Linked DNA regions of Caenorhabditis elegans. The protein of the gene in region 4 interacts with the protein of the main gene of each other region in a pairwise test. Each region holds a gene or a part of one and is shown on either strand. Other genes may lie near its edges. The genes, in order: rpn-2, num-1, par-6 and pkc-3.

Region 1 (5,840 bases), on a different chromosome or scaffold from region 4:
GTAGGTCCACATCTTTCAGAGTGGTCTTCCAAATGTTTCGATGACGAACGTCAATTCCGTATCCAGACATCTAAACATTTATTTTTTTAAATCTAAAGTTAAATCAAATGAATTTTATAATTAAATCAATTTTCGATTAAAAAAAAAATCTTACTCCGATTTTGTTCAAAAGATGAACAAGAAGACCATTTCCGCATCCAATATCCACGAATTTATTCGGCTTTGGTAGGAGATCAGAATTGACAAGCTCCTAAAAATATTTTGAAAGATGGGAATTTTATTGAAATAGATAAATTTTACATTTATATATGAAGCAATCCCACAATCCTCGAAAATTGATTTTTGTGGATTAGAGTTTTCTGTCCATCCTTTGATCATTCCTCTGCCATAATCCTCTCGAATATGACGATATGTCTTGATGTAGGACTCTTTGTCGAGTAGAGAATTTGTCTTTCGAGATGATCTGCAATAAACGTTTAGACTTTGTTAAATCATAGCGTTCTCACTTTGAAAGATCAATTCCTTTCAACCAAGTGTACAATTGTTTGAATGCTTGTTTCTTCATAAATTCAAAATGTTCTTGAGAGGAATTAGCTTGCTTCAAAAACTGAAGTTGAATGGATGTATCTGTTGGGATTTTAATGGCAATTGAATACGGGCTCTCGAAATGTGGGTGTTGCATTCCATCGAGAGTAATTGGGTAGAATCGTACAAGGAGTTCTTCTGAAAACAAAAACATCATTTCAAAAGAAGACTAACTTCGAAACAAACCTTCATAGTAAGAAACTTCAAACGCATTATCTGAGAATTTATTATTAGCGAGATCCTTGTGTATGATTTTCGTAATAGCTATTTCGCTGCAATCTCTCGGGCAAAATTTGTAATGTGTTTCAAATGTTCTTAAAACTTCATTCCATAAATCTGAATCTGTATCCACTGAAACTGAAGTTGTAATTCTGTTACTGATAGCGTTTGGATATTCCTTCCAAAGACTGATAATCTGAATTTTTCTTTCAATTACAATATTCCAAATTACAATAACTACCTTATCAAAAAACGCTTTTGGATCAATAACCTCTTCGTATTCGGCGATTTGTTCTACAATAACTGTCCATGTTGAACCAGGAAACATAAAACGCCTAAAAACGTAAAATTTTAATTGAATATATTGGTAAACTAGTTTTTCAAAGGAAAAAGAAAATTATTCAATAAACTTTTATTGATTAGTTCGGCCGAAAATATCCAACACGCAGAAAGGTAAGCTTTTCGAAGATATAGAAAGTTCTAGAAAATTCGGAAATGTTCCTCTGAAAACTACAAAAACTAAGTCAGACTGAAACCAATGTCATAACTATGTGCAATGAGCCTTTAATACAGTAACCACCGCATAGCTTTGAGACGATCAGTGAAAAATTAAGCATTAGAGCGGTCAAACTAGACACCAATACACTTTTATCTGATTTTAAAAATTAAAATATGCTATTTTTATCGGAATTGCTGGGAAAAATATTGTCTAAAAATAAGAAAACAACTTTGAAGAAAATGCGCCAACACCCATGTGCTGGCGCAATTATCGATTAGTTGACGCACATCGCGGAGGATGACAATTCTGACCACAGCGGGAAACCGCGAAATTGTCAGCTTTTATCTGAAAATGTATGTGTTTTTGGACGAAATTTGTCATTCGCAATCATTCTTTTCGTTCGGTTCATCCATTGTTGGTGTTTGAGTAATTTTATGATTTTCTAAAACGCCTGATTTATTTTTAGACGTTTTCTAATTTGTCTTTTAAGACGAGAAAGCTGTTTTTCTGATAACCTAGAAAAACATTTTATAATAAACTATGCTTCGCAACTATCTTCTCCTAGCTGCTCTCATTTCGGATTGTTTTTAATTTTGATTTCTTTCAGATGTTGACATTGTTGAACAGATGGAGATCTCAGCCAGGAGGCGCTTCAAACGCAGGTATCAAAACTAATATCTATCAAGAAACGTTGTGAATTGTTCATTTTCAGCCGCATTCATTCGTGTTCTCGAGTCACCGAAATCAGCAGTGACCGACAAAGTGCTCGTTCTCAAAGCATTTAACGATTGGGATGTTCTTGTGAACACATGGTTTGAGGTCGCTGACGCCCTTCCAGCTGTAGAGCAGCTCCTTGACAACAACACGTTCCCAGAGCATTCATCCGCTGCACTGCTCGTCTCCAAAGTTTATTTCTGCTTGGAGCAGTATGAACGTGCTTTGGAGTTTGCTCTTCGTGGTGATTTCAACGTCGTTCCTGCTACAAGAACCGGTCTTGGAAACGACGCAGAATATGTTAACAAGATCATCGAGACGGCCATTGACACGTACAAGACGCTGAGCAAGCAAGGATCTGGAATTCCTCAGAAACTCCGAGATTTGATCGACCGAATTGTTGCTAGAAATCTGGATAAACGAGAGATATGGTTTGTCATCTCGTTAGGATTTGAGACGACCAATCTGGCTATGATCGACAGGGCCATTAGCGCGATGCCTGCAGATTTGACCATCAAGAATCAGAGTAAGTCAATAATAACTAAGCTGAAACGTCATTCTTTTTTGTGCAGCTACACTTGTCGAAACGCTCAACCGTGTTGTCAATGGCGCGTTCGATCGTTCATTCCGATTCCAAGTTATCGATACAGTCATCAAGACGTACTTGAAGTGCCCATCGCCGGACATGTCCAAGATTTGCGAGGTATGATTTATACAAATATCGAAGTAAAATTACAAAATAAACATTTTCAGTGTTACGTGCTCACGGATAACGCCGAGGCCGCTGCTGACACGATTACGAGTTTGATCGCGAAGTCTCTCAGCACTCGTGCATATCAGATCGCATTTGATTTATATGAAACAGCGAGTCAAGGATTCCTCGATCGAGTTTTGAAACGTTTCCAACAGCAGGATGCTCGTGATGAGAAGTCGATGGAAAAGATTCATTCAATTCTCAAAGGTCATGAAACTGTCAAGGCTTACCTCGACTTCTTTGTCCGTCATAATCACACTGATTCTGTTCTAATGGAAGAGATCAAGGAGAACATTCGAACAGCCTCTGCCCACAATGCTCTTCTCATCTCAAATGGTCTTATGCAATATGGAACTACTTGTGACGATTTCCTCCGTAACAACTTGAACTGGGTTTCCAAAGCTACGAACTGGAACAAGTTCAATGCGGTCGCTTCACTTGGACTCATTCATCACGGACAAGAATCGTCTGCAATGAAGGTACTTGAGCCATATTTGCCAAAGGAATCTGTCGAAGGATTTGGATTTAAAGAGGGAGGAGCAATGCTGGCATATGGATTGATTCACGCCAAACACGGAGATGCAACTGCCATGAGCACTCTGGCTCAGTGGCTCAAAACCGCCGAAAACGAGCCAGTGAGACACGGAGCTTGTCTTGGATTTGGAGTTGCTGGACTTGGATCGTCTTCTGTTTCGAATTACGAGAAAGTTCGGGAAGTTCTCCAACGTGATGAAGCAGTTTCCGGAGAATCCGCAGGAATCGCCATGGGCCTTATCATGGCTGGACATCTGAATCAAGAGGTGTTCAATGAGCTCAAGCAATACACTGTTGACACACAGCATGACAAAACTCAACGTGGTATCCGAACTGGACTTGCCTGTGCCGCATTCGGACTCCAAGGAGATGCTGAGCCTTACATCAAAGAAGCAATCGGAGCTAAGAGCAATCCAATGCTCCGTTCCACTGGAATCTGTATGCTGTCGATGGCTTACGCCGGAACCGGATCTCCAGATGTAGTACGCCGTCTTCTCGAGAAAGTAGCCACCGATCCAAATTTGGATGTCAAGAGATACGCTACAATTGGTATCGGATTCGTTCTCTCCAAGGATCCATCAACCTGCTTATCCTACGTGGCCATGCTCACCGAACATTTCAATGGACATGTCAGATACGGAGCAGCTATGGCACTGGGAATTGCTTGTGCTGGAACAGGAAACATGGTAAGATACTTTTTTCTGAAACCGGGGTTTGATATAATGAATTGTTTTTCAGGAAGCTATTGCTCTGATTGAGCCAATGATTTCTGATAAGGAAGGTTTCGTTCGTAAAGGAGCACTTCTTTCACTTGCTCTCATCATGTGCCAGCAGACAGACTACACTTGTCCCAAGGTGAACGGTTTCCGTAAGCAATTGCTCAAAAAGGTAACTCTATAAGAAAACAATCAAGTTTTTCAATAAATGTTTGTCAGATCGGAGAGAAGAACGAGGACTCTCTTGTCAAATTTGGAGCAATTATTGCTCAAGGACTTCTCGACATCGGAGGGCAGAACGCTGCGGTCACAATGCAAAATTCTGACAAGCAGCCAGATATGGGATCAATGGTCGGAATGATGTGCTTCCTTCACGGATGGTTCTGGCACTCGATGCATTTCTTCATCGCCCTTGCTGCTAAGCCATCATGCCTTGTGATGATGAACGAGAATCTGAAGATTCCAGTACTTGACTACATCTGCCATGCCAATAGTCAGAAGTTTGCCTATCCACCACGAGCCGAATCAAAGAAGGATAAGGATGTCAAAAAGATTGAGACTGTTGTTCTGTCCATCACCGGAAAGAAGAATGCGTCAAAGAAGCTGATCGCTGAGGAGAAAAAAAGACGAGAAGCTGCAGCTTCCGCTTCTAGTGCTGCTGCTGCCCCATCATCATCGTCCACTTCAGGAACAGCACCAGCTGCTGAAGATGAGAAAATGGAGGTTGATCAACCAGGAAAATCCAAGTAAGTTTGGAATGAGTGTCTAGGAAAAGTAGAATTCGTTTTTTTTGTCATAAAAATTAAAAAACCAAGATTTCCAAATTAACTTACAATTATTTCAGGAAAGAAAAGGCTCCAGAAAAGGACACGAAGCCATTGCACCGCCTACAGAATCCAGCTCGTGTGATTCCTGCTCAACGACAGCTAATCTCGATCAGTGACGCTCGAGCCTACAGTCCCATGAAGCCACTTTACAAGGGTGGAATTATTGTGGCGGATCGTGTTGATAAGGAGAGAGAGGAGAAGCTTGTCAGTGAAGTCGTCACTCAGGTCAATACTCCTGCGAGCTCTGGAAATACCGAAAACAAACCCCATTCGACGTTCGAGATCAATATCAACGATTTTTGATCAATTGCTGGATCATTCGATCAACTCTATCTCGCTCCCCCAATCCCATTCAAAACTTTTTTAATTTATTTTCCCCCTTCTACTCTATTTATGTTTGACTTCGAATCAACATGAACCCGCTGATTTTTGTATTTGTGTGTATACCTGAAAATGAAGAACATTTCACTTACATGAATTGAAGTCAAGCGATAATGACAAAAAATTTATTTTTGTTAAACAAGAGATCCTTTCTGGCCTCAAAATCTTGCTGTGTTATTCAAATGAAACAGCAACAAAAATGAATGAATAAATTCTGAAAATTTTAATAACGAAAACGTGAAGTAAAAAATTAATTTAATTATCCTCCTCGTCAGTTGATAGAATCTCGCCGTCTGATAACTCCTCTTCGGGATCTCGCTTTGGCTTCGGAGGAACAACGACCGCTGGTGTTGACGTGGATATGGCTGGCTTTTTAGCAGGCGATGGAGCTGCTTTCCGCGATGGAGGAGACTGGTTTACACGTTTTTTGGTGGGAGTGTCGAGGTGTTTCTGTAAATTTTGATTTTGAAAACATGTAATCGGGAAATTTTAAGCTAAAACAATATAAATAATAAAAACCAACATCTCTTCCTCTATCAGAAGACGACTTCTCTGGCAAACGATCCCTATCTTTTCCAAATTTCCTTCTAGATGTCGTTGGTATTTTATAC
Region 2 (7,531 bases), on a different chromosome or scaffold from region 4:
AGAATTTCGAGAACTCGAAGCAACATCCAAACTAGGATAGTATTCACATCTACCATCAATATAGCTTGCTCGTTCACACGCTTGTGAATATGACCTCAATCTAGCTTGAGAATGGGCTAACTTCAGTGCTCGAACTTTTGACGCGACACCACACCGCGCACGATGACCAACGTTATGGACCACCGCGCGCACGTATTCAGTGTCTATGAGAACCATTTGATGAGGTCTGTTCGAGTGTGAAAATAGGAGAAATGTTGATAAGGAACTTTTTTGTTATAGGGAAATGGTAAAAGATGGGGGTTTACTAGTCATATCACTTGATGGATTATGCAAATTTCCAAATGACGTTGAAAAGGATCGCCGTTTTGAGTGTCAGAAATATGGAAATCTTTGAAAAAAAAATACAGTTTTTGTTTTTTTCAGTTTAGAACTTAACAAACTTTATCAAAAAAAATCAGCGAAAAATCGCAAATTTTCAGATTTATTTTTTGAAAACATTAAAAAACAGTTTTTCCAACGTTTTTCTCAATAAAATGTATTTGTTTAGTGCGGAAAATCGCAGAAAATAGATGTTTCCAACTGAATTTCCGTCGATTTCGCGATTTTTCCTCAAAAAACATAAATTTATCAAAAAATTTGAGCATTTTTGGAAGAAAACTTATTTTTTACTCAAAAATCGTAAAACTTGGCAAGACCCATTTACCGAGTTTTTAAACAATTTTCCCATATTTGTGATTTTTTCCTAGGAAATCTTGATTTTTTCCCATAAAACATTGCGGAAAGTTTGGAATTAAAATAAAAAAATAAGAACGCGCAAATAACATGCAAAATCAAACCTTTTTCTCAGGAGATCTCTCCGTTGGATTATTCGACACGGTCCTTAACGACATATTTCGCTTGAATTGATCAGAAGACGATGGCATATCGGGTGGTGCTCGAAGGGATCCCTGAAACTTTGAATTTTCAAGTGGTGTCAAGTTGTCACATGTGAAATTTGGAGATCAGCCAAAAATAGCAATTTTTAGGTGAAATTTTCAATTTTTTGATCAAAAACCAGCGAATTTTCTTTTTTTTTTAAATGATTTTCGTCAATTTCGAGATGAAAAGATTTGAATTTCAATTGAAAACTCGTATTTCAGCCAAGTTTTGGGGATTTCGTCATGATTTTGCGTAAAAAAACACATAATTTTAGGTTGAAAACCATTTTAATGAAGCAAGGTGTCAGGTTGTACGATGAGAAACTCAAGCTGGGAAGACTAGATTTTCAGTCAAAAATAGCTGTTTTTAGGTGAAATTGTCAATTTTTAGCTTAGAATCCAATAAAAAAAAGAAAACTCGCTGGATTTTGATCTAAAAATAGCTATTTTTGGCTGAAAATCTAGTCTTCGCAGCTCGAATCTCACATGGGACAACCTGACACCACAAAAAACGAACCTGTCTCAAAAACAGAGCCGGATTTCCAGTTGGTCTCGGCTTCGATATCCTTCTAATCTCATCCATATGATTTGATGCCGGTACCTCGTTAATAATTACTGATTGTGGATCCAAATATCGATCTTCAATTGAAACGTGCTTCCGGAACGACTGATAAGCCAGGTTTGAACGGGAATTCGAAGGGTTTTGAGTTGAAGTTCCTTCTGATGTATTATCCTCCCAATTTGGGTGGAATATATCCTTTGGTGGAGTGGATGAAGTTGATTCTTGCGCTGATTGCACATTTACTTGAGCTGTTTCTTCGTCTCGTCTTTTCTTTTTTTCCAAACATATTGAAAATGCACAACCGACAGCATGCGAGAGACGTTCGCCCTGAAAATATTGCATTTTTATAGAAAATTCGGCAATTTAGGTCGAAAATTGATAAATTCACTGCTTTCATTGCCTCCATTTTCCCAAATTTGTCGGAAAACCTGGAAATTTTGCATAATTTTCTGCATTTTTCTTGCTATTTTTTAAAAGATTTCTTAGCAATAAGAGTAGTGGGATTTGTCAATTTTTTACCTAAATTCCCGAATTTTCTGCCAATAAAACATATAAATAGTTTTTTCTGAATAAAATTACCGTTTCCTTGGTGGCTAAAAATCCATGGCACATCCACCGCCTGGATGCTCCATCTCTGCAGATGTACGCGAATCCTTTGTCAGTTTGTCTGTCGGGTGCACAAAATGAAACTTTCTCAATAGTCTGATCTACCAACAGTCCTCGACTGTTTCCCTGATCGACAACACGTAATCCGTCTCCTGACACGTACAGAACTGCCTTTACAGGCTTTCTCCGTGAAGCTTTCAGCGATTTCAGTGCGCCTTCACAAACTTGCATTCCACGAGACTCGTACACTTCCACTGATCCTAGATATTTTACATTGAAACAGCACGTACCCGTTCGTACGGCACCTTCGTCTGGCTGCCACTGTTCAGTCTTCGAACCGCCCGTTACCTGGAAAATTGAGCATTTTTTGGGGAAAACTTGAGGTTTTTGGAGAACATTTAAAAAATTCTCGATTTTTTTGCGGAAATTTGGTCGAAATTATATGAATTTCAGACTGTTACTTGGTTGGAAAAATGGTGATGAAATCCGATAAAAGATAAAAACTGATTTCCAAGTAAACTTCGGAAAAATCGATTTTTCACAGGTTTTCACGTACATCTGGACTCAAATGCCTGTCATGACTCCTATCTCTTCGCTTTTTTGGCAGTCTGAGCGATCTCCGTAGCCGGTCCATCCCTTTTGAGAATATTGAGCTAAAATTCACATAATGTACTTAAAAATATAGAAATCGACATGAAGAATAACCAAATCGGCAAATTTTAAGTTCTAGAATGCATTAAAATCAATTTTTCGCATTGTTTTCGAAAATTTTGCTAGAAAAAGCAGATTACCATCGAAAATCAATAACAAAATTGATGAAAAATTGGGCAAATTAGCGAGGAAATTGGTGAAAGAATTGAGCCTCACGAGTGGGGAGAGATGAGAGAACGGGGTAACGGAATCTGTGGAATTTTTTTATTTTTATTGGGGTGTCACATTGAATTTTTGTAAATAATGTTTTGCTTCTTTTGTTATATATATTAATAAATATTTTATTATAATATTTCAATAAGAAAAACTATGAGAAAATTCAGTTTTTTAGCTGATATTTTCCGTTTCGTTTCCCTGAAAGCAGCTCAATTTGTGTGGCCTGGCTAGTTTAATAGAGCGCACTTGCAGTTTTCGGAGAGCTCAACAGATAATTTGAAGATTTTAAATAAATAAAAAAGACTTGGCAACTGTTTGTAACATTTTTCCTTTAAAAATTAGTACCTTTTATCGTTCGGAATTGGCATTGGAACAATTGCGGCGTCAAAACTTGGTTGCTGTTCAGAGACTAAAGAATTCTGAATACTCTTTGTCTTTTTCTTCCTTCTCGATATTCTCGACAGTCCTCTCGTGAATACGTTTCCCTGTGAAGCGCTCATCTGAAACAAAAATCAAAAATTAGTCAAAAATATCGGGAGAAATCGGTCAAAAAATGGCAAAATAAATGGAAAATGAAGAGCACTTTTAAATGATAGTATGAGAATTTCGCGTTTGGGACCCGCTACGATGCAATTCAAATTTATGTTGGCAAAAAATGCATGATTCATAGCCAATGACTGTAAAACAGAAATTTCAGTCAAAATAGGACAAAAACTGAAACCACCCGTCGCTCTTATCAATTCCATCACATTGCACCGAGCCTTATTGCACAAAAGAAACACGACAAACGACGAGAGACTGTACAAAAGACAAGAGAGTGCAGAGATGTAGAGGGAAAGTTCCGTGCCTTCTCACTGTCCTGTACACAGTCTCCAATACACATAGAAACGGAGACAAATGACCTCTTTTTGCCGGCGTGATTCTCGATGATATTTGACAGAATTGCATAAAAATCGAGGACTTTTAGAACACTTCTATTTTTCGTGAAGAATCATTTTTCAGATGCTAAATTGTCTTAATTTGCGCTTCGAAAACACGGTACCCGGTCTCGAAACGATAAATTTTAGTTAAATGCCAGAAGGATGCGCGTCTTTAAGAAATACTGTACTTGGGCTACAATAGGGAATTTAAAAAACTACGATGCTTTTAAAGGAGGACTAACGATTCGGACGATTTTGAACGTATAGACCCAAAATGAGCTCAAATGAACAATTCATTATTTCATAATAAAGCTTCTGAAAAATGTTTCAAAAATTTTTTACGGCGGTTCGAAATTTCAAAAAAATAACACTGTTTTTAGTTAAATTCTCGAACTTTGGCCATTTTTCTGAGTCGCAGCGGCCCGATGATGACTTTTGAATTATCGTCCTTTATTAAATATTTTCGTTTATCTCACTTAATTTCGTCGATTAAGGTGCATATGAAGCCAATAGGTAATCAAAAATCATCGAAATAGGTTGCCTATCGGCTTTAAATATTCTTTAATCGACGAAATGAAATGAGTAAACTACAAAAATATTCAATAAAGGATGATAATTCTCAATTCGAGATTTTAGCTATTTAAAAGCAGTGTATTTTTTTCGAAATTTTGAATCATTTTTGAAACACTTTTGAGAAGTTTCATTACAGTGTTTTTTTTTCCAACTTCTACGACTTTAAAGGCGCGCGCATTTATACAAAATGGCCCCGTCATTGGTCTCGCCACGCGCTCAACAATTCAATGGAATGCGCGTGGCGAGAACATTGCGCGAAAATGCGCGCGCCTTTAAAGTCGTAGAAGTTGGAAAAAAATGCACTGTAAAACATTTGCTCATTTGAGCTCATTTTGGGTCTACTTTCAAAATCGTTAGTCCTCCTCTAAAAAAGTTTTTACCTGATTTTTTAAAATTTTTTACTGAAATATAAAAAAAGAGATTCCTATAATTTTTCATAAATGTTCTAGGAGTTTTTAGCGTTTGTTTTTCAACGTATTCTGTTAAAATCCTATTCTTAGAAAAGTTGTTCCGCCGAATTCCGACATGAAAAAGTTTTCGAAAAATTTGTCAAAAAAATGTTTTGAATTAAAAAAACAATTCTAACAAATTTTTGTTTACAGTATACTTTTTGTTTAAAGCATACATTATAATATGAAAATTAGTCTACTAAAACGAAATGGTTGGAAAGCAAATTTTATTTCGTGCAGTGAAAAATGAATTTTTCAACATTTTGTGTATGATTAAAAATTAAAACCTAACATCTCATACCTGGCATACCTGTCACGCAGGCATCAAAATGTCAAGTCACTGTTCAACTAATCGTGTGCAACATCATGCTTCTCACCATTGATAAAATTCTATATTTTCAGAAACTTTTGTTATATTTCTTAAAACCCTATATCTCGAATCCGAACTTTAGTATGACCACTTACTGTATCACACAACATCAATCTCGGTGCAGTATATCTAGACTCTTGATCCCAATTTCTTGGTCTATGCCTCATAAACGGAACAATCATATTGTCGAATTCTGAAAAAAAAACTTGTTAACGAATGTGCGAAATTAATTTTTTACAATCAGTGCCAAAAAATATTCAGAGTATCGCGACAAAAATAGCTGATTTGTGCAGAAACTGAATGTTCCGCCTCCTTTTCACCCGATTTCCGACTGTTATCGCCGTTGATAAAGGAGGTCATACTATAGACAACCCCTTTTTCTTACGTGTGATAGAGGGAGAAATACGGAAATTTTGTAGGGAAATAAGTCGTTGCAGACGTCAATGATCATTTTGAATTAGCAACATGTACGGATGGAACTTTAACTTTGCTCACGAGTATTTGAGATAGCAGGTTTGAAATTAGCACATTGCTTAGCGTGTAAACTATTAAAGATACCAGGAAAATACTATTTTTCCAAAACTCACCGCATTTATCGTAAACCCATATTGTAGAGGTGGCACTTCTTGAACTGCGATCCAGACCATCATACTTTAAACCAAGAATAGTTTGTTTGTGAAATCTAAACTCTATTGGCGGACGACACTTGTAAAACATAGTGTTCGATGAACCTTGCTGATGAACTATCCAATTCATAATAAAGTATAGTCAAGAAGGACTCTCGAGTCAAAATGTAAACATAAAATAAGTTTTGAGATTAGTAGAACCCAGCTTGTTCCCACGGTAGTACGTATCCATAACACTTCCACAAAGATCAATGTGAGTAGTCAATACAATTGTGATGTTACAAAAAACTTTACTTTAATTATTTTCTTAAATTTGATGAAAATTGATATTTTCACTTGCGTTTTTTTTTAATTTTCAATCTTACAATCAAGGTGGTTAATTTTTTTTCTTTGTAAAGAATTAACGGAAGACCTTGTAAACTTAATGATAAGATAACTGAGATTACAAAGGAAAGTTCAAAAAGTTAATAGTTTGAACAGATGAACTTATTACATGTTCAAAAAGTCAACATTTGCGTAACCAACATGGGTGAATTTACTTGCGAATTACTACAAGTTATTTCACAACAACAACATGGAACATGGAACATGGTTAAAAACAGGCTGTGACATTTTACAATGTTTATCCGATGAAAAACAATGTTTCATTTTAAAATAAATTAATTGTTTGTACAATAATCGTTGTCCTCAAAATCTTTGAAACCCCATAATATATCCTGTTTTTTATACTTCCAAGTATTAATCATAGAAACGAATAGAAGAGCTTTAGACCTCCTTTCAGTTTTTTCTTCTTCATCTTCCTCCATCTTGTCCAAAAAAATGACGTGCGAGAACACACTCACATGAAAACTCACAAAACACTCACACAACGCCTTCAGCTCATCGATTTTCCTCGAAGCCGTCAGCCATGAGCGAGGAGAAGAGCACATGAGCTCCTCTCTCTTCAGCGTCTTTACTCTGCTGTTCTGCGAGCCTCAAAATCCTTTCGGTCTATAACCGTCTGTCTGCTACTCTGGCAGTCGGCTCTCTTTTCGTCTGCCAGGAGAGCCAAAGCGACGCATTCACATTTCAGCACCAAACACGGTTGCCCGAATGATCGGTGCCGTTTCTTTGGTTTTCTTTACTGTCGGAGTTGCAGCTATCTATGGATTAGATTTGGAAAACGTAAGTAAACTCATATTTTGTTTTGTAGGCTTAGTGTTTTTCTAATTCCTGAGCAAGTGAAATAGATTTTGAAATTTTCAAATATTACTTTTTTAACGATTAAGGTATCTGTATTAATTTTCATATATGAACTCCAAAGCCTCAAACTGTGAAAGTTGAGTTTCAAGGATTGCAAATTTATTTCCGCCATAATCAAAATTTTTAGTGATGACTCACACTAAGATTATTATCTAGTGTTCCTAGTCCATTTTTTTTCGGATTAAGGATACTCAAGGAAAATTGAAGAAAAGGTATACATTTAGTCAGCTTATTCAAAATTCAAAATTTCAGGCTGGAGACTTTGTTCTTCCATCCGGAGATTTCATTGATCTCATCTCACGTGACTCTGAAAATCTTCCGGATCTCTCCTCTTTTGGAGTCAAGCATATCTCTGGTGGAGCTGGCGAGGGAGAACAGAAACTTCTTGAGGAGGACAAT
Region 3 (7,287 bases), on a different chromosome or scaffold from region 4:
ATCATAAAAATCCCGATTCTTGCGATTTTCTACGCCAAAATTATCGAAATTTTGAACTTTTTCAGGCGAAAAATTCATTTAAATCCCATTTTCTGGCTCCAAATCTCACAAAAAATGTGATTTTCCGTCTGAAAATCGCTGAAAATTTCAAAAAAAACCAATATTTTCCAGGACGTCAACTATTCCTTCGTGACGCTACACTCAATCTCTCTGACGTCACACTTATTGGAGCACAAGATGAAGTCGAAATTGATGAGAGCCTCTTTGATAATGAGGTTTCTGGAAAAAACCACTGAAAAATCGATTTTTTACTGAAAATTTACGATTTTCTATTAAAAAATTGCATGAAAAACATGCAAATTCATTGGAAATTGTCGATTTTCGAGTTTTTTTCGGTGAAAATCCGAAAATTTTTTTTTCTTTTTTGAAACGTTCCCTTTTAAAACCTGGAAAAATGTAAAAATTCGCTAAAATCCCCATTTTTTCACTGAAAAATTAGACATTTTTTACTCAAAATTTATTTTTCCATGGAAAACTCTGTTTTTGAGCTAAAAAAAATGCAAAAAATCTGGATTTTTCCGAAGAAAAAGCTTCAAAATTTACAAAATTTGGCATTTTTGGCTGAAAATTCACGATTTTCCACTTTAAAAGTGAATTTTTTGTGATAAACTTCATATTTTCTATCAAAAAATTGAAATTTTCTCACTAAAATTCCGATTTTCTATGGAAAAAACGCCAAAATTCCCACATTTTTCAGTGAAAAGCTACTTGAAAACGCGAAAAATTGCAATTTTATTCCAAAAATTGTTCGAAATTTCGAGTTTTTCTCATAAAATTGATTAATTTCAAGATGAAAATTCGATTTTACTGCCTAAAATGATCAAATTTTCCGATTTTCAACATAAAAAACCTCCAAAAATCCCATTTTTTAGCCTAAAAAACCCCAAAAAATCTCAAATTTCCACTCAAAAAAACCCATTTTTTCCAGGAACTCGAAGGTCTTGAAATGGATTCCGAAGAAGAAGAAGAAGACGATGAAGAATAGGATTTCCCCTCAATTTATTGCATTTTTCTGTGATTTTTCGCCATTTTTTCGGCGAAAAATCCCGTAATTTATCCATTTTTTTGCCCCCCAGTTTTTGTTGATTTTCACGGTTTTTCGTTTCAATTTTTTCCATTTTTTTGCGTAAAGATTTGTTTTAGTTTTAACCTTTTTTTTTGAATTTTTCGCTGTTTTTATCAGCTTTTTTATCGATTTTTTATTGAAAATTTTTGGCGATGAGTCATCAGTTTTTATCAAACTTTTTTGGAGAGTTTTGTGACTCATTTTTACTCAATTTTCAGCGGAAATTTGGTGTTTTGAAGGTTTTTTTTGTAAAAATCGCAAAAAATGCGATTTTTAGCTTGAAATTTCATTTTCCGCTAGAAAAATGTTCAAAATTGCCATTTTTTGGAATTTTTATTCAATTTTTCTACTCAAATTTCCTAAAAATGTCTATTTTCCAACTCAAATTCAGTTTTTTTTTCCGTTGAAAACTGTTCAAAACTCTAACTTTTAAATTAAAATTCAATTTTTTCCATTGAATAATTATTTAAAATCCGATTTTTGATTAATAAATTCAAAAATTATTCACTTAATAATTTTTTCACTTAAAAAAGGTTCAAAAATGTGAAAAAATCCAATTTTCAGCCGAAAAAATCGATATTTCCCACGAAAATTGTGCATTATTTCCGGCTCAACGCGGAGCTGCACCTGTAACTTGTAATTGTGAGTTTTAATTTGCGAAAATCATAATTTTTCAGCTTAAAAGTATGGAAAACGTCGAAAAATGCGATTTTTCTACTCAAAAAAAGCCGGAATTTCCAATTTTCCAGCTGAAAACTGTTAAAAATCGCGTTTTTCAGCTCAAAAAACCCGAAAAATCCAAATTTTCAGATGTCCTACAACGGCTCCTACCATCAAAATCATCATTCAACACTTCAAGTCAAATCGAAATTTGATTCTGAATGGCGTCGTTTCTCAATACCAATGCATTCTGCGTCTGGTGTCTCTTACGATGGGTTCCGGAGGTGATTTTTGGCCATTTTTAGCCGAAAAATCGAAAAATTCAGCGTTTTTTTTTTACCTAAAATACGTCAAAACCCATGTTTTTGACGTAGAAAAACGTTAAAAATTGATTTCTCTACCCAAAAGTTACTGAAATTGTCATTTTTAGGCATAAAATCCCTTAAAATTCAGAAAATCGGATTTTCAACGATTTTCAGCTGAAAAATCCAAGGATTCGGCGTTTTTTGTCCTAAAATACGCGGAAAATGATTTTTTTTACTTGAAAAAATCAGATTTTTTCCGATTTTTACCTTGAAAACCCTAAAAAATCTATTTTCCAAACCAAACTTGGCCAAAATCGGCATTTTTAGGGCTAAAATCATGCGTAAATCGAATTTTCGCCATTTTCAGCCGGAAAATCGAAAAATTCGTCTTTTTTTTTGTGTTTTTTTTTACCAAAAACGAGCGGAAAATGATATTTTACCTGAAAACTCGATTTTTGAAGCAATTTTCCCGTAAAAGTTCAATTTTTCAAGTAAAAATCGATATTTTCAGCCTTGTCGAGAAGCTTCATCACCTGGAAAGTGTCCAATTCACACTGTGCTACAACTCGACTGGCGGTGATCTTCTACCAATCACAAATGACGATGTTAGTAGCGGAAAACTGAAGAAAATTGATTTTTTCAGTGAAAAAAAAAACGAAAAAATCGAGTAAAAATGACATAAAATTGATATTTTTCACTAAAAAATGCTAAAAATTCAATTAAAATGTCTCGAAAATTGATTTTTTCAGCTTAAAGTTAGTCAAAATCGATTTTTAAAACAGCTCAAAAATCGTTAAAAAATAAAAATAATAATAATAAAAAAATCGATTTAATATTCGGGTGTCTCCTACGAGGACAAAAAATCGATCGATTTGAAAACTCACAGAAAAGTCGAAAAAAATCACAAAAAATCAATTAAAAATTGATTTAAAAACTCAAAAAATCGATAAAAATCTCAAAAAAAAATCGATAAAAATCGATAAAAAGTCTATAAAAATCTGAATGTTAGTAGGGAAAACTGAAGAAAATTGATTTTTTCGGTGAAAAAATCGAGAAAAATCGAGTAAAAATGACCTAAAATTGATATTTTTCACTAAAAAATGCTGAAAATTACTAAAACATCACTTATCGATAAAAATCACAAAATTTCGCTAAAAAATCACTAAACATCTTAAAAAATCGATAAAAAGTCCTAAACTACAAAAAATTGATTTAAAAAAATCGAAAAAAGTCTCAAAAAATTGAAACAAAAATCACAAAAATTCGGTGAAAAATCCCCAAAAAATCAATAAAAATCACAAAAAGAATCGATAAAAAATTACAAAAAAACTCAAAAATCGCTTTAAAAAATCAATACAAAACCCCAAGAAATCGGAAAAAATCGATAAAAAATCGATAAAAATCTGTTGAAAAATCACAAAAATTCGGTAAAAAATCCCCAAAAAATCAATAAAAATCACAAAAAGAATCGATAAATTCCTAGAAAAATCCCAAAAATCGATAAAATCCCAAAACTACCATTATTTTTTTTGCAGAACCTCCGAAAATCGTTCGAATCGGCTCGCCCACTGCTCCGTTTGCTCATTCAACGCCGCGGTGAATCATGGGAAGAGAAATATGGTTATGGTACAGACTCTGATAAACGATGGAAGGGAATTTCATCACTTATGGCACAAAAACCACCGAAACGCAGTTATTCAATCTCGAATCCCGAAGATTTTCGACAGGTAATGGGTCTCACAGCGAAAAAAGTGGAATTTTTGAATTCAGCTCGCTGAGAGCTTCGAAATAAGTATAATCATGACCGGGTTACGATGGATTTGAAAAAAGTTGGGTCTCGCCACGAAAAATCGAAACCACAGTAATCCCGTTTCGTGATGGGACCCAAAAATTTCAAATTTCGCAGAACCTAGTCATGATTATACTTATTTGAAAGCTATTGATGAGTTGAATTCAAATTCCGGAAAAAATTTTGAAAATTTCAATTTTTGGTCCCACCACGAAGGAAATTTTCGCTGCGGGACCCAAAATTTTGGAAATCTTCAAATTTTCCGGAGCCCAGTCATGATTATACTTATTTGAAAGCTCTCGGTGAGCTGAATTCGGTTGAACTCATGAAATTGCAAAAATCTGGTCCCGCCACGAAAGTGCCAACCTACAGTAACCCCAATTTCGCGGTGGGACCCGCATATTTCAAAGTTAACGGAACCCATGATTATACTAGTTTTAAAGCTGACAGTGCTCCCAATTCAAAAATATTGATAAAAATCTCAAAAATTGGATCCCACCACCACGAAAATGCCAACATACAGTAATCCCATTTTCGTGGCGAGACCAACAATTTTCAAAGTTCGCGGAACCTAGTCATTCCATTATACTTGTTTGAAAGCTCCCAGTGAGCTGAATTCAGATTTCGCAGTAATTTTCTAAAATTTCGTCACTTTTCGTGGCGGGACCCAAATTTTAGGAGAATTTTCAAAATTGGCAAAACCTAGTCATGATTATACTTATTTTGAAGCCCTTAACGAGCTGAATTCAAATTTCCCATTAATTTTTAAAAATTTTCAATTTTGCAGGTCTCTGCAATCATCGACGTGGACATTGTGCCAGAAGCTCATCGCCGTGTCCGTCTCTGCAAGCACGGACAAGAACGACCACTTGGATTCTATATTCGGTATCGATTTTTCTGGAAATTTCAGATTTCTTGCCAGAAAATCCCAAAAATCTGCAATTCTTTTTTCAGTGACGGAACATCGGTTCGAGTGACAGAACGAGGCGTCGTCAAAGTTTCAGGAATTTTCATTTCCCGGCTTGTCGATGGTGGGCTCGCCGAGTCCACAGGCCTTCTTGGTGTTAATGACGAGGTTTTTAATGGAATTTTCAGAGTTTTTAATCTAAAAATTCCGGTTTTCAGGTGCTCGAGGTGAATGGAATTGAGGTTCTCGGAAAGACGCTGGATCAGGTCACTGATATGATGGTCGCCAATGCTCATAACTTGATTATTACTGGTATATAATCCGGAAATTTGAATTCAGCACGCCGAGAGCTTTGAAATAAGTATAATCATGACTAGGTTAAGATTATTTTGAAAAAAATTGGGTCTCACCGCGAAAATTGCGAGAACCCACTTTTTAAAAAATTTCATTAGAAAATTTGAATTCAGCACACCGAGAGCTTTCAAATGCGTATAATCATGGCTATATTCTGTCAAACTTGGAAAATTCGGGTCTCGCCAAGAAAATGATAAACTACAGTAACCCATTTTCGCGATGGGACCCAAAATTTTCGCATGTGACGCAATCTTGTCGTGTTTATACTTATTTGAAAGCCCTTGATGAGCTGAAAACGAATTTACTAAAAAATTTGAGAAGTTTCAATTTTTGGGCCCGACCACGAAACTGATTTTCGCGATGAGACCCAAAATTTTGGAAAAAATTAGATTTTCGCCAAACCTAGTCATTATTATACTAGTTTTGAAGCTCTTGGTAAGATGAAATCGAAAAATCTAATTGAAATAGCGAAAATTGGGTATCACCACGAAAATCGCTGCCTACAGTAACCCAGTTTTCGTGGTGGGGTCCGAAAATTTAAAATTTCGCATAACCTAGTCTTGATTATGTTTATTTTAAAGCTCTAGGCGAGCGGAAGTTGAATTATTTAACAAAAATCTAAAATTTCAATTTTGGGGCACGACCACGAAATTGGCTTTCGCGGTGGGACCCAACATTTTGGAAAATTTTAAATGTCCGCCAACCTAGTCATAATTATACTTATTTGAAAGCTCGGTAAGCTGAAATCGAAAAATCTAAATGAAATCGCGAAAACTGGGTCCCCCACTAAAATCCCAACCTACAGTAACCCAGTTTTCGTGGCGGGACCCAAAATTTCGGAAAATGTTCAAAATAAACATAGCCTAGTCATGATTATACTTGTTTGGAAGCTCTCAGCGAGCTGATTTTAAATTCTGTAGTAATTATAAAAAACAAAATTTTCAGAAATTTTTTTTCGAAAAAAAAATTTCAAATTTATTTTTTTTTTGAAAATTCAAAAAATCCCAATATTTTCCAGTAAAACCTGCCAACCAACGAAACACACTGTCACGAGGACCGTCACAACAAGGAACACCGAACGCCAGTGAGATGTCGGCCGCCACCGCAGCCGCTACAGGTGGAATTCAGCGCCCGATGAAAATGAACGGAAGCTCCGACGGCAGTTATCATCCGAAACAGCACGACGCAAATGATTCGGACAGTGGAGAGGACTGAAAAACTCTTTTCAGCCATTTTTCCTCGATTTTTTCAGAAAAAAAAACCACAAAATGTGACCATTTTTATACATAATTATATTATTTATATTCTCGCTAAAACCACACACACACACAACCAAAACCGCTTAATTTATTTATTTTCCCCTTTTTCTCCTAATTTTTAATCAAATTTGTCGGCTTTCTCTTCACTTTTTTGCGCACAATTTTCACTTTTATTTCCCCCGTTTCTCGCCCCAAAATGTGCCTTCCTTTCGCCCTTTTTATGTGATTTTTCCCCTTCAGAGCTCTCTGAGCCCATACTTTTTTTTTCGAACTTTGGCTCAAATTTTTTGACAACAGACACGACATACAATTTTTCCCCTGAAATTCACATTATTAGTGAGAATAAATTATTTATTTCAAGCTTTGAGAGATCAGCATTGTGAAAAAAATGTTGCCATTACGGGGACTCGAACCATGGCCTTTTGACTGGAAGCTTTTTCGTCGAAAATCCCACTGCTCCATTTGGACATTTTTGACAATTTCCCAGAAATGACATAATTTCGGGTAAATTTGAATTTTATTGAGTTCTTGACGATTTAAGGCTTTAAAAACTGAGAAAATCTACATTTTCAGCCGATATTCCGCTGATTATTCTCAAATTCTTATTTTTCAAGGTTTTTCTCTGCTGTTTAGGAATTGATATTATAATTTTTGGGTTGAGAATTGAAAGTTTAGCCTAACAACACTATGGAAAAAAGTTTGCCACAGTGGAGACTCGAACCACGGTCCTTTGACTGGAAGCTTTTTCGTCGAAAATCCCACTGCGCCATTTGTACAGCATTTTTGAAAAGTGCCCAGTAATGAAAAGTCTGTAATAAAATGTTACCTTTGAGTGATTTTTTGATGATTTAATGTTATAAAATCTGTGCAAATCTGAAGTTTCAGTT
Region 4 (6,509 bases):
CTGAAATTCTAAAACTCTGCGCCAAGATGTATAGACAGGTAATAATATTTGAATTTTCTTTAAAAGTGACCTTGAACCCTAAGATTTTCGCTCCTCCTAAACGTTGTAGTCTGTTACTCCCTGCCGCGACAATTGTCAGCAAAAATCGCGTCACATGATGATGAAAGTTTGTGGCAATGTTATAAAAAGACTGACCTTATTTCGTTTCTTGGAAGATGCAAAGAAATGTTTATTAAAAATTGCAGTGTGAAATCATGTCTCTCGCTCCAAAGGTGCATTTCTTATTTGTTTTTTAAAAATATATTTGGTTACTTAGATATTAATTTAAATCACGGAAAAGTTTAAACCCCTCGATTTCTGTTATTTAACATGATCACTCACTTTTATAACAATTAATTTGGTTTTTCAAAGATGTTCCCAGAATGTTTTATTAGTTCTCATTTCGTCCTCCGATTTTTTTTCTTTCGTCGCTCTCCAATTTTGCCAATGTATTTCATTCCCATTAGATAAGCACCGCCCGTCACCTTATTCTCCTTCTTTTCACATTGCAAACAAATTCGTTGCCGTTGGGTTTCAATATCCTTTTCATTTTTTGTCGTATTGTTGTTCTTGTGATTGTGGTTGTTATTTTATCGCGGTATTATTTTTTTTTGTTAAACTAATTAATTTTTAGATGTCGAAAGCATTCATCGGAAAGCCAGCTCCACAATTCAAGACTCAAGCCGTCGTTGATGGCGAGTTCGTTGATGTTTCGCTCTCTGACTACAAGGGAAAATACGTTGTGCTCTTCTTCTACCCACTTGACTTCACTTTCGTGTGCCCAACCGAGATTATCGCCTTCTCTGACCGTGCTGAGGAGTTCAAGGCTATCAACACCGTTGTGCTCGCCGCTTCCACCGACTCTGTCTTCTCTCACTTGGCATGGATCAACCAGCCACGCAAGCACGGAGGACTCGGAGAGATGAACATTCCAGTTCTCGCTGACACCAACCACCAAATCTCCCGTGATTACGGAGTTCTCAAGGAGGACGAAGGAATTGCTTTCCGTGGTGAGTTATATTCTGAATGGAATCCTTCATATTTTCGTACTTTATTTGAAAAATAAAATTTCAGGACTCTTCATCATCGACCCATCACAAAACCTCCGTCAAATCACCATCAATGATCTTCCAGTCGGACGCTCTGTTGATGAGACTCTTCGTCTTGTTCAGGCCTTCCAGTTCGTCGAGAAGCACGGAGAGGTTTGCCCAGCTGGATGGACTCCAGGATCCGACACCATCAAGCCAGGAGTCAAAGAAAGCCAAGAGTACTTCAAGAAGCACTAAATGTCTTACATCTCTAATTTCCCCCGTATCCCTAGTATTTATCTGAACGGTTTATTTATACTCATTTTTCATTTTGATACTGAAATTCTGAAATTCATGAAATTGCTTGATAACCGTAAAATAAACTCGGTATTCGAATATAACTGTTTCTGTTCAGGAACAAACAATATGTGTCGAGACTCTCTCTCTGTTACTTTTTTGTCACTTTCCTAGACCGCCCGTGTTAGTCGGTGCGCGCGCATCGTCGTCCTGTACAGTGTTTGTGAGGGTCACCTGTGATTATTCATTTCTCTATGCCTCTTCAAAGCTGGGCCGCTCTCACTGACCTGTACACTTGGACAAAATGGGGGTGTTCGATAGAGCGTCAATGCATATATAGCTATAACAGTGTGTGTGTGTGTATGTGCATGTTTATTCATGAGTCATTTTTCCCTTTTTTACTCTAATACTGCCAACTCGTCACTGTTTCAGTTTCGCAGTTTTCGTTCAGAACTCCTTTTTTTGAACCGTTTTTAGTTCAATTTTTATTTCAGAATGTCGTCTCCGACATCATTAGAGGAGGACGGAGATATTAAGCTAAAAACGAGGTTTCAAGGACAGGTGAGATATGAAAAGTGGCTTTTGAAATGCTCAAAAATCGAGAAATACCCTAAAAATGAATTTTTCGTTGCAGTGAGAATGTGTAAATCATTTCGCCGTCAATGCGAAATTTTAGTTTGTCAAAGCTTTAAAAATTCGTAACAGAGAGAAAATTCCAGACAAAAAATAGAAAAAGACCGTGATAACCGAATAAAACTGTAAAAAATTAATTTTTCTGAACTTTTAATGATTTGATTAATAGTGTTTAAAACTTAAAAAGCTCTTTTCCGGCTAAAATTAAAAAAAAACAACCACTGATTTTTTAAAAATTCTGCAAAATTGAAAAATAATTTTTGTTACTGTATAACTTTTTTTTTTTAATCTGAAAAATTCCAGACTCCCAAATTTTAATAAAAATTAAATTCCAGGTAGTAGTACTCTATGCTCGACCACCGCTCATTCTCGATGACTTTTTTGCACTTTTGAAAGATGCTTGTAAACAACACAAAAAACAAGATATTACTGTAAAATGGATTGATGAAGATGGAGATCCAATCTCAATAGACTCACAAATGGAACTTGATGAAGCAGTTCGATGTTTGAATTCTAGTCAAGAAGCCGAGTTGAACATTCACGTTTTTGTTGGAAAACCAGAGCTGCCCGGGCTTCCGTGTCAAGGAGAAGACAGTAAGTATCATGAAGCTATCAGAAAAATTATTTAGAATTTCGAAAAAATGTGCGCCTTCAAAGAATACTGTAAAGCGGAATTTCTATCAATTTTTATAAAAAGATTGAAATGAAACAATTAGAAACACATAAATTTTGGAATTTTGGAAAATAGATCAAACTTCCGCAGTTTGAAACTACAGTAATCTTTAAAGGCACACAATTTCTCGCGTTTAACAAGAAATTTGTCGGAGGAAAAATCGGAAATTTTCGAGTCTGAGAAATGTTTTTTTTCCAGAAACTGTATATCGAAGAGGTGCTCGACGATGGAAGAAAATTTATCTGTACAATGGGCATCGATTCCAAGCGAAACGGCTGAATCGGTAGGTTTTTTTTTCTGATTTACAGCCTCCGGAGCTTCTTTCTTTTCAGCCGTATTCAATGCTTTATTTGTCATGACTACATATGGGGAATTGGACGGCAAGGCTTTCGATGTGTGGATTGTCGTTTATGCGTGCACAAAAAATGCCATCGGCATGTGCGAACGCATTGTGGTCAGGTAATTCTTTTTTTTTGTAGCGAGGATAGCTTCTAAATTATTCCAAAATTTTGAAACTAAGACCTCCCAGACTTCTGTTTTTCAATTTTTACAAATTTCTGTGCAAAACAGGTTTAAAGCTTAAATTTTTAAATTCCTCATAAAAATCTAAATCATTTTCAGGCTCTCCAAGGCCCGAATATTATCCCAATGGCTCCTGCAAGTGGTTCTCTAAAGGGTGCTCGATCGAATACAAGCTCATCTACAACGCGGTCGGGTGGAGGAATTGATAACGGAGCATTCCACGAGCACGAAATCGAATCACCCGGATCCACGAGTCATGATGCTAGCAGAGCTATGGTAAGCTTTTGAAGTTGGAGCCAAAATTTGAAATAAAATATATTTGAAATTTGATATAAATATCTTTGTCTTCACGTCTCCGAGGGATCGTAATAAATTTAATTTAATATTCAGAAAAGTTAATTTTTTTTGAAATTTATTAGTTTATTTCCAAAAAAACATAACTTTTATTTAAATAAAACCATCTGAAAAGTCTCAGATTTACAATAGCTGAAAATGAAATAACTCTTGTTAAAAAAAACAATTTAAATTGGAAAGTCTTTGAAATAGTGGTAGTTAATTGAAATATTTAATTAAGTTTAATCCAAAGTTCAATTAAATATTAGGTTCTTCCTGTTGCAATTTCAATTTCAAATTTCTAGATACGTGATATATGTAACTCTTGAAAAACATTCTAGATTTCTAGACTCAACTACATTTTTTTGTTTTTTTTTGGATGAACAAGTTTTTGTAGTTTCACTCTTTCTCTTGCTCTCAAAATTTTTATTCATTTCCAACCACAATTCCCTTCCTCGCTGCGAATTCTGATTTCTTCCTGATATCAAAATATTTTAATATTTCAACGTATGGCACTTTTCTGTCAGTGCTTCCCAGTATCAGATAAAAAGAAACGGCGAAAAGTATTTTTAAAGTTACATAGATTCAAATACTAAAATTTTTTAATATTTCAGAATGGAAATGGGTCGTCAAAATGGGCAGTTTCTCTGAACGATTTCCGTCTTTTAACAGTTATTGGACGTGGATCTTATGCAAAAGTTGTGCAAGCAGAACATGTTTCAACTCGTCAAATTTACGCGATAAAAATTATCAAAAAGGAGATGTTCAATGAAGATGAAGATATCGATTGGGTACAGACGGAGAAGTCAGTATTCGAAGCAGCGTCAAATTATCCATTCCTTGTTGGATTACATTCTTGCTTCCAGGTTGGTAACTTTCTTTTTCTTCGATTTTTTCAAATCTCAAATTTTCGCATTAAAAATTTTAAACCAAAATTTTGATAATTTCAGACCGAATCCCGCCTGTTCTTTGTCATCGAATTCGTTCCTGGAGGTGATCTGATGTTCCACATGCAACAGCAACGGAAGCTTCCAGAAGAGCACGCTCGATTCTATTCGGGTGAAATAATTCTTGCTCTTCATTTCCTTCATTCTCGCGGAATCATTTATCGTGATCTCAAATTGGACAATGTTCTGATTGACGCTGAAGGACACATAAAACTGACAGATTATGGAATGTGTAAAGAGAATATTAAGGATGGAGATTTAACTTCAACTTTCTGTGGAACACCCAATTATATTGCACCAGAAATATTGAGAGGTGATGAATATGGATTCAGTGTTGATTGGTGGGCATTGGGAGTGTTAATGTAAGCCTTTTTTGGTTGAACATTTATTTTATTTAAATCGTTTTAGGTTTGAAATGATGGCTGGTCGATCTCCATTCGATATTGTTGGAATGCAGAATTCCGAGGAAAATACAGAAGATTATCTTTTCCAAATCATTCTTGAACGACAGATTCGAATCCCTAGATCACTTTCTGTACGGGCTTCTGGTATTCTAAAGGGATTCCTGAACAAGGATCCAACAGAACGTCTGGGATGTAAGCTTGACATTAATGAAGGTCTTCGTGATATGAAAGAACATCAATTCTTCCGTGGATTCATTGATTGGGAAGCTTTGGAACAGAAGGCTGTCGCACCTCCATATCATCCAGCTGTGGAAAGTGATCGCGATTTGACACACTTTGATCATCAGGTAATTTTAATTTCTTCAGAACTTAACTTTAAAAAAAAATTAGTTTTTGTTTACTAATAAATTATTGAATCAAAATATTTTAAAACTAATTCAAAATGCTTGTTTTTTTTTTCAGTTCACCGACGAACTTCCACAATTATCACCTGACAATCCAGATGTTATTGCACGAATTGATCAATCAGAATTTGATGGATTTGAATACGTGAATCCTCTACAAATGAGTCGGGAAGATTCAGTCTGATTCCCCCACCATCCCCCGAGTCCCAAATATTTATTTTCTTCGGTATACTTTTTTGTGATTTTTATTATTATTCTCGAATCCCATCTCCTTCGCCCACTGTCTTATACGATACTATGACACACTAACTCGTGGCATAATCAGTATCCTAACTTATTTTCTTTTTCTCAACATCTGTTATACATTTTCTCGCAACAATCACTTCTACTCGTCTTGTGGTATCTTACAATCCCGAAAAGGTTGTGATTTTTTTTGGTTTCTGTTAAAATCTAGACTATTCATACTTGCTAGGAATACCTAATGCTTGATGACCTCCCCTTCTAAATACACCTTCTTGTTACTTTTCTTGTCAGCTCATTCATTTCCCTGAAATATATGTAAAATTGCGGCGAAGACTACGATCAATGTAGTCTCTTCGCCATCTGACACTTCTTTTGTGCCACGTGTGGAACTCGATTTAACTTCAATTCAATTTACATGTTCTTCCATTTGACCACTTCCCTTACTTATTTATTGACAAACAAAAAAAAATTGCATTTCAATGGTCTTTATCAGTTCTAATGTGGGCGCCAATTCATTTCATCATCACAGTCTGAATCACCTTCCTCGCTTGCTTTTTCAAAGTTTTCTGGGCGCGGGCGGGTAGAAAAGTCTTAAAGGGACGTTCGAGCACAATCTCTCGTAGTCCACAGTCGGCTTCATAGAAGTTGAGAAGTGCTCTGCAAAATGCCTCGCCGAGAGCTTCATCTGAAAATTGAACCAAGTTACAGTAGGAAATCACTGAAAAAAAACCTACATTTATATTGAAGATATGGCGTACAATGTTGTATTCCATTTCCAGAAGAGTCTGTATGGCGATAAGAGAAGAATGATACTTCAAGTGTATAGCAAAGGCAGGAAAGTAGATCTCCCATCGTTCTGAAAAGTTATGAAGGGTCCTGACACGACTGGCATTTTTCTGCTACAGTAACCCAGCGTGTTTTTCTCAACTCCGTGTTTCCCAATGTATTCATTTTGAAAATATGCATATATTTTCTAGAAACATCAT

Evidence for each region.
Region 1: the proteins of pkc-3 (region 4) and rpn-2 interact in a two-hybrid assay, tested with the Caenorhabditis elegans proteins (one study listed by BioGRID).
Region 2: the proteins of pkc-3 (region 4) and num-1 interact in binary tests that used the Caenorhabditis elegans proteins (3 or more experiments, as listed by UniProt).
Region 3: the proteins of pkc-3 (region 4) and par-6 interact in binary tests that used the Caenorhabditis elegans proteins (3 or more experiments, as listed by UniProt).

Annotation. Positions count from the first base shown.
Region 1 is NC_003281.10:6,197,276-6,203,115, forward strand, and holds rpn-2 (26S proteasome non-ATPase regulatory subunit 1), read left to right. Parts: upstream 1-1,904; 5' UTR 1,905-1,910; coding exon 1,911-1,965; intron 1,966-2,015; coding exon 2,016-2,543; intron 2,544-2,589; coding exon 2,590-2,720; intron 2,721-2,770; coding exon 2,771-3,991; intron 3,992-4,043; coding exon 4,044-4,193; intron 4,194-4,240; coding exon 4,241-4,767; coding exon of another isoform or gene 4,768-4,771; exon of another isoform or gene 4,772-4,865; coding exon 4,866-5,151; 3' UTR 5,152-5,319; downstream 5,320-5,840. Other genes in the region: C23G10.7 (putative tRNA (uracil-O(2)-)-methyltransferase), read right to left, coding at 1-70, 155-250, 301-463, 507-723, 772-1,000, 1,046-1,132; sna-3 (NADAR domain-containing protein), read right to left, coding at 5,485-5,679, 5,753-5,840. UniProt on the Caenorhabditis elegans protein: Acts as a regulatory subunit of the 26 proteasome which is involved in the ATP-dependent degradation of ubiquitinated proteins.
Region 2 is NC_003283.11:20,828,300-20,835,830, reverse strand, and holds the start of num-1 (PID domain-containing protein), read right to left. Parts: upstream 6,021-7,531; coding exon 5,852-6,020; intron 5,458-5,851; coding exon 5,360-5,457; intron 3,453-5,359; coding exon 3,298-3,452; intron 2,745-3,297; exon of another isoform or gene 2,739-2,744; coding exon 2,642-2,738; intron 2,434-2,641; coding exon 2,059-2,433; intron 1,807-2,058; coding exon 1,435-1,806; intron 948-1,434; coding exon 837-947; exon of another isoform or gene 217-836; coding exon of another isoform or gene 1-216. Other genes in the region: sbt-1 (Neuroendocrine protein 7B2), read left to right, coding at 6,983-7,054, 7,385-7,531. UniProt on the Caenorhabditis elegans protein: Involved in the tethering and targeting of pkc-3 to modulate the intracellular distribution of the kinase.
Region 3 is NC_003279.8:12,667,690-12,674,976, forward strand, and holds par-6 (Partitioning defective protein 6), read left to right. Parts: upstream 1-1,690; 5' UTR 1,691-1,768; intron 1,769-1,936; coding exon 1,937-2,070; intron 2,071-2,602; coding exon 2,603-2,696; intron 2,697-3,626; coding exon 3,627-3,818; intron 3,819-4,565; exon of another isoform or gene 4,566-4,631; intron 4,632-4,667; coding exon 4,668-4,765; intron 4,766-4,834; coding exon 4,835-4,955; intron 4,956-5,005; coding exon 5,006-5,099; intron 5,100-6,159; coding exon 6,160-6,356; 3' UTR 6,357-6,758; downstream 6,759-7,287. Other genes in the region: T26E3.4 (RWD domain-containing protein), read left to right, coding at 172-275, 989-1,045. UniProt on the Caenorhabditis elegans protein: Necessary for apicobasal and anterior-posterior asymmetries associated with cell adhesion and gastrulation during the first few cell cycles of embryogenesis. Required for localizing/ maintaining par-3 at the cell periphery.
Region 4 is NC_003280.10:5,378,169-5,384,677, forward strand, and holds pkc-3 (Protein kinase C-like 3), read left to right. Parts: upstream 1-1,858; 5' UTR 1,859-1,859; coding exon 1,860-1,925; intron 1,926-2,332; coding exon 2,333-2,591; intron 2,592-2,868; coding exon 2,869-2,953; intron 2,954-3,002; coding exon 3,003-3,129; intron 3,130-3,291; coding exon 3,292-3,468; intron 3,469-4,139; coding exon 4,140-4,391; intron 4,392-4,475; coding exon 4,476-4,834; intron 4,835-4,880; coding exon 4,881-5,223; intron 5,224-5,338; coding exon 5,339-5,464; 3' UTR 5,465-6,001; downstream 6,002-6,509. Other genes in the region: Peroxiredoxin prdx-2, read left to right, coding at 255-272, 674-1,049, 1,114-1,325; ccpp-6 (Cytosolic carboxypeptidase 6), read right to left, coding at 6,036-6,208, 6,258-6,379.